2 linked regions of the Schizosaccharomyces pombe genome follow. Changing the gene in region 1 together with any one later gene gives a genetic interaction. Each region holds a gene or a part of one and is shown in the gene's direction. Other genes may lie near its edges.

Evidence for each region.
Region 2: of hsp3102 (region 1) and glo1, extra expression of one rescues a mutant of the other (dosage rescue), as found in Schizosaccharomyces pombe (one study listed by BioGRID).

What each region holds. Positions count from the first base shown.
Region 1 is NC_003424.3:147,447-151,003, reverse strand, and holds hsp3102 (glyoxylase III Hsp3102), read left to right. Parts: upstream 1-2,068; coding exon 2,069-2,791; 3' UTR 2,792-2,966; downstream 2,967-3,557. Other genes in the region: dgc1 (D-glutamate cyclase ), read right to left, coding at 3,125-3,557. UniProt on the Schizosaccharomyces pombe protein: Catalyzes the conversion of methylglyoxal (MG) to D-lactate in a single glutathione (GSH)-independent step. May play a role in detoxifying endogenously produced glyoxals. Involved in protection against reactive oxygen species (ROS).
Region 2 is NC_003423.3:2,444,400-2,448,158, forward strand, and holds glo1 (glyoxalase I glo1), read left to right. Parts: upstream 1-2,157; 5' UTR 2,158-2,298; coding exon 2,299-3,207; 3' UTR 3,208-3,458; downstream 3,459-3,759. Other genes in the region: vacuolar amino acid transmembrane transporter Fnx1, read left to right, coding at 1-1,525. UniProt on the Schizosaccharomyces pombe protein: Catalyzes the conversion of hemimercaptal, formed from methylglyoxal and glutathione, to S-lactoylglutathione.

The sequences.
Region 1 (3,557 bases):
AGTTAATGCATTTTTTTCTATAGACGCTGCCATAAAAATATGTAGAAGTATGAACCTGGGAAAATCAACATATTTGAATTTTAAATAAATAATCTTAACGCTTAATTCAAATGGACATTTAAAAAGTTGTGTCTTAATTAGAATAGTAAAACGTGTCCTTTCCGCAGGCAATGAAAAAAAAGCCAAAAACAAAACAACTCAAAAAGTCAAATTTCACTCTTAAAGCCAAGTAAAATACTAGGCAAGTTTAGATGGAATATAGCAAATGGAGATGAAACCTTCGGCGCATTTTGCTACAACGTACACATCAATATATGCATATGTAAATTTGGTACATATTTTATATAATATCAATATATATACCAATCACCTGCATTATGCCAGTTTCATCCAAAACTCAAAGCCTCAGTATTGCGATATCGCATAAGCATAATATAGTATAGTAATACATCTTTATTATCGATATCCTCTGGGCTGCTAGTGCAAAATGATGTAAAGAATATCTAATAAAAATATCAAATTGATAGTTAGCCATTTACTAGAAAAGGATTATAAACATCAACGGCTAAAAAATAATGTAAATTTTGCCGGGTTCATGGACAAGCCGAGTGGAGCTCTAGTTTAGATCTGATAGCGCAATACTAGTAGTAGGTAGTACACATGGTCAAAGTCGGTAAATTAGGTAAACACTTACGCACTTCTATTATTACTTCTTTACAGAAACATTATTTACCGAACGAGAAGGTATCGTTCTTTAGCATTTTCTGTTTTGACATGCCGTTAAATGCAGGATGATTAAAATACTTGTAAATGCGTTCTGTGCGTGAGAGCATACTAACAAGCTTGGCCGTTTCATGAAAAAAAAGGTTAAATGAGCTTCAGCAAAACGCAGTTAAAACGTTCATCAATTCCTTCTAATTATATTGATAATCCAATGTTTGCAAGGAAACAAATTTCTTATCTGTATTGAACCTTTTTGTAATTTACTATTAGACACTACTAGATCTTTTTCTGTATTCTCAGCAACGTAGAAACGAAAACCCGAGAAATCTCGTCTGTCTGTTAACCTGATGTAAACCTCAAAGACGGGGTCACCTTTCCTAGCTTTATTCATTAGGTTTGCGTAATAATTTACTGCTTCAACAACTTTAGAACAATGCTTCTATTGAAGTTTTGCTAATTAAACAACCAGTTCACAAAAAAATGATATAAAATCAAAAAAGAAGGAGCCTACAGCACCCCGGATTCCCATGTTGTCTCCAACCATAGTACTAACGAGGCCCTCAGACGCTTAACTGCAGTGATCGGACGGGAACTGGTGTTTTCGCCTAGGTATGGCCGTAGACATTTGGATCAGTAAATAGCTCTATAAATACTTAAAATGTATTTTATATTGTCTACCAGCAGAGCCTGTTTTAAGTGTTGGATCATTGAACACCATCAGGCAAATGGTATACAATAGTCATGAATTGATTTCAATTATGGATATTTAAAACTACATATCTTTTGCTAAGTCATTTTCAGTAAAGGAATGTTTTACCCGAAATCCTTATAATAGAGTTAATGAACTAGCTACAAACGCAAACAAAACACTGTCAAATTTATTAGCCTCCTAGTGACGTTACATAGTCTATCAAGGGTCTAGTCATGGTTTTAACCGATTAGAAAGTAGTTTTTTATACAATATATTTAAAGCCTCGTTTTTTGTTACACAAGTGTGTAAAAACCTCATTAGTCCTTGTTGTCATCTAGAAAAGTACTTAAGGTTCTTCCGTACAGCAGGAATCTTTACATAGTAGAAATTGCTATATGATATAGAATGACATCTATTGAATGCAACAACAATCGACCCTAGAACAGCTTCGAATTTCATGACTTCATATTTTGTAATATGGTAGGAGCATGATTTTTTGTGTTGATTTAAAGATTGAATAGTGTATATATATATATATATCTTTACATCTACGAAACGTTGAATTGATTTTATATCAATAATATCGATCATTTTTATTCTATTATTTGTTTGTTTGCTTGGCTTTCATCTATTTCTACAGACTATCTTTCCCTAATGTCTATTGCAAAAGGAAAAAATGCATTGCTTGTTGCCAGCAGTTATTATGGCCCATTTTATCCAGATGGTAAAAACACTGGAGTCCATTTTTCAGAGCTTTTAATCCCTTACAATGTTTTCAAAAAAGCAGGTTTTAACGTGCAATTCGTTTCAGAAAATGGCTCTTACAAATTTGACGATCATTCCATTGAGGAGTCAAAATTAGGGGACTTTGAAAGAAAAGTATTTAATGATAAAAACGACGATTTTTGGACTAATCTTAACAATATGAAAAAGGCTTCGGACATAGTTGGAAAAGACTATCAGCTTTTATTTGTGGCAGGTGGGCATGCTGCGATGTTTGACTTACCCAAAGCCACGAATTTACAGGCGGTAGCAAGAGAAGTGTTTACAAATGGTGGTGTTTTATCGGCAGTCTGTCATGGCCCTGTTTTGCTTGCCAATGTAAAGAATCCACAATCAGTTGAAGGCAAAACAGTCGTGTATCATAAGCATGTTACAGCTTTTAATAAGGCTGGAGAGGAAAAAATGGGTGTTATGGATGAATTGAAAAAACGAGGGATGAAATCCTTAAATGAAATATTTGCTGAAGCAGGGGCAACTTTCATTGATCCACCAAACCCCAATGTCAACTTTACTCAGATCGATGGAAAAATTGTAACAGGGGTAAATCCGCAGAGCGCAAAATCGACTGCTGAAGCCGCCGTTAGCGCATTATAAAAATTATGTTGTTTGTTGTTATGAGTTATACGAAATAAATAAAAAGAAAAACATTGGAAGATAATTTTTTCGCAGATCTGCTGTTCATTAAAAGTGATGCTTATGCTCAAGTGAAGCATTGCTAATTTGCGATACTGTTTTATAAATATTATAAATTTAGTACTACAACTTTTGCGATTATTCATGACCAAGTATTGTTGAGATTGAATGCCGTCTCAATTATGGTAGATAAATATTCATTGGTAACTATATAATTTGCTGCTGCTGCAAATGATCGCTTAATGTAACAGTTAGCGCTCGTAAATGACAAAAAGAAAGAGCTGGTATATTCTATTAACAATTATGGGTTAAATCAGTCAAATACATGTAGCCAGGTTTATGAGAGTAAACGGGCTCAGGTAGTTTACTCATCATTACTACGTTTTGTGGAGTAACACCACAGCCCCAGAAAATAGGGATTTCACCTTCTTTGAATTCGACAGGCACGCCAAAGTCAGGTTTTCCACAGTCTTTGACTCCAATTTTCTTAGCACCATCCCAACCCCATGCAACAGGTTCTCCATGGCAGTTCGTATAAGCAGAAGTAATTTTTCTGATTCTTTCAAGGTCCTTTTCAGGGTATGGACGCATGGAGACTACAAAAGTACCAGTAAAAACGCCAGATGCGCAAAGAGGGATATTTGTAATAAACATTGGAGGTGCATCACCAGTTGGTAAATGCCTTGGGATAAAATTCTCAGCTACTAGTGCAGCTTCAAAAGAGAAA
Region 2 (3,759 bases), on another chromosome or scaffold:
AGAGTTGAGTGTAAATAAATGGACTATTCTACCTGCTTTATGGGTTGGTGGCTTCTTGTCTGCTTTGGATATGACAATTGTTGCAAGTTTATACCCTGTAATTGGTAGTGAATTCAAGTTAATGAATAATGCTTCCTACATTGTTACCGCCTATTTAATTACAAACACCGCTTTCCAACCTTTATATGGTAGACTTAGTGACATCTTTGGACGACGCCCTACCGTTGTATTTGCAAATGCTGCTTTCACGCTTGGAACTTTTTGGTGTGGTATATCGAGAAGTCTTCCGGAATTGTGTATGGCTCGCGCTCTCGCCGGCATTGGCGGTGGAGGTCTTGGTACCATGTCTTCCATCATTTCGAGTGACATCGTTTCATTGCGTGAACGTGGTACCTGGCAAGGTATAACTAACATTGTTTGGGGTATCGGAGGTAGTTTGGGAGGACCATTGGGTGGGTTAATTGCTCAAAGATGGGGTTGGAGAACAGCGTTTCATTTTCAAGTCCCTATGGGAATATTATCCACCATACTAGTTGCTTGGCGTGTCCGCGTTAAACCTACCGTTCGAAATTCCAATGCATCGTTGCTTTCACGCATTGATTACTTAGGCAGTTTTCTTCTTGTAACGGGCATTACGGCACTGGTAGTTACCTTTAACATGGGCGGGGACGCATTTCCTTGGGTTTCTCCAGTTATCATTACTTTGCTTGTATCTTCTGTCCTTATTTTGTTCGCATTTTACTGGGTCGAAAAGAATATTGCTGTTGAACCAATTGCGCCTGTGGAGATCCTATCTCAGCCTACTCCCTTGAATGTCTGTTTGGGTAACTTTTTCAATGCGTTTTGCAGTTTTGTCATTGTCTACGAATTACCCTTATTTTTCGAAACGACGCTATTAATGCCATCGTCTGAGGCCGGTGTTCGTATCTTTCCTTACGTTATCTCCACATCTGTTGGATCTCTTTGTTCAGGCTTATACATGAAGAAAACTGGCAGGTATAGAAATTTGGTTATTGCTGGATTTTTTTTCATGTTGATGGGTATTGTTTCCTTTGCTGTTCTTACTTCTTTCGGTCACAGAACACCCTTAATATTAATTTCTCTCTGTTTGGCAATGACCGGATGTTCTTATGGAATGAACCTAACTTCTACCCTTATTGCTATTATCAGTTCTTTAGCCCCAGAAGAACAAGCTGTTGCTACAGGCCTTTCCTATCTTTTCCGTGCAACAGGTAGCGTCATTGGTATCAGTCTTTCCCAAACAACAACTCTTTCAATCCTTATGAAGCAGTTAGCCTCCAACTTAAAGGACGATCCGGATAAAGATGATTTGATTCGACGTCTTCGAGAAAGTATAAGCATCATTCCAAATCTCCCCAAAGATATCCAAAAGCTAGTCATAAAGTCGTATGCCACTGCTTTCACATGGACTTTTGCCTTAGTTGCAATTATAGCTTTTGCTGGATTCTGGTGCTCGCTGAGGATCAAACAGTTTTATTTACATACCTCTGTTGATCGTTCATAAATTATATCCTAAGGGGATTCTGATTTTCTACATATTGGTAGATAAGTCATATCAGATTTTTGTTTACATTTAGATTTTATTTACAAGTTTATGTTATATACTTTTGAGTTCCATGATGGTGATGAGTCATATTGTTCTTCAGGTTCCACCACTATCATATTTAAACGGATTCGCTAAATATTTTATTTTATTTTATTTTTTGCTTTGAGGAAGTTGTGTATCCTTCTTTACACTAGCATCAGAGAGAGCACACTTTGAGACTTAATTATGATAACAGATTGGATTACAAACGATTGTTTAGCTACAGATAGGTTTGTTTCTCTCTTTTTAATTAAATTATTTCTCTTCATAATATTTTAATGTAAAATTGACTAATCAGAACGCTGATATTCTCTTTGTATACTAATTTCTTCTTTATTTACAATGAAAGCTATATACTTAGCAATTTGAAGATTCATTATTATCACATACCCCATTAGCACGTAAATCTTAATAACGATATTGTGATATAAATCTATAAGTTCTATAACGAAAGCCAATGGACTCGTACATGACATCAATTCTTTAGAAATCTACTGGTTAGCATCTTCCACATCATTGATATAAACTTACTTCGGTAATTTTTTAAACTTGAAATTTCTTTGTGTTTCTGCTTCAATACACATCAATCTTTTTGCTGTTTATATTCAGTTTTTTGATTCATCCTCGTCAACAACGTTGCTATAAGTTTATATATATAAATTTACAACTTAACGGGTATCTTCTTTACGAATATGGCTTCTACTACTGACATGAGTACTTACAAACTAAATCACACTATGATTCGTGTGAAAGACCTCGACAAGAGTCTCAAATTTTATACCGAGGTGTTTGGTATGAAACTCATTGATCAATGGGTTTTCGAGGAAAATGAATTCTCTTTGTCGTTTTTAGCTTTCGATGGACCTGGAGCTCTAAATCACGGAGTGGAACGTAGTAAGCGTGAAGGTATATTGGAACTGACTTATAACTTTGGCACTGAGAAGAAGGAAGGCCCTGTTTATATCAATGGTAATACCGAGCCTAAGAGAGGATTTGGACACATCTGCTTTACTGTTGATAACATTGAATCTGCTTGCGCATATTTGGAATCCAAGGGGGTTTCTTTTAAGAAAAAGCTTTCCGATGGTAAGATGAAACACATCGCTTTTGCCTTGGATCCTGACAATTACTGGATTGAGCTTGTTTCTCAATCTGAAACTAAGCCCAAAGCTAATATTTCTAACTTTCGTTTTAATCATACAATGGTCCGTGTTAAGGATCCCGAACCTAGTATCGCCTTTTATGAGAAACTTGGAATGAAGGTAATTGACAAAGCGGATCATCCCAATGGTAAGTTCACCAATTATTTCTTGGCCTATCCTAGCGACTTGCCCAGACATGATCGTGAGGGATTACTTGAATTGACTCATAACTGGGGTACTGAAAAGGAGTCAGGACCCGTTTACCATAATGGCAATGACGGCGATGAAAAGGGTTATGGTCATGTTTGTATTTCCGTTGACAATATTAATGCAGCTTGCTCTAAATTTGAAGCTGAGGGGCTACCATTCAAGAAGAAATTGACCGATGGCAGAATGAAGGATATTGCTTTCTTACTGGACCCTGATAATTACTGGGTTGAGGTCATTGAACAGAAGTAAACAGTGACGCCTTGTCTTTTTAGAAACGTTGATTATGTTTGAAAGTGGTGTGGGGAGAATTTTTAGTACATGTTTTTTTTTTGAGGTAGAAATATATTATTTTCGCTATGAAATTTAAGTATCTATATTCTCCTTTTTTTCATTTAGTGATTTTCGATATCCATTACCTTCAGTTCGGACAGGAATTGAAATAGAATCAACCCTAATATCTTTGTAACGGGTAATAAAATAACAAAGTAAAAGAAGAGAACTTACTCATTTTTTTGTAGGAAATTACGTTTAGTACATCACTATTGTAATTGTACACTCATTCTATAGGAAGAAACCACGATTTGGGTTCCCTCCCTCAAACTAGAGTAATTTTTATAGCAACAACTTCATGATGAAGTAGCAATATAGGAATATTAGAATAAGTTTTCAAATATTCCATTTGCAGTTGCAGAAACGTAATTTAATAGAAGCACAGAAATTATTACGATATAGTTACAAAACTTCCACATTCAAAATCAACTTAAAAGAGCATAATCATGAATTGATATTCAATATGAGAAC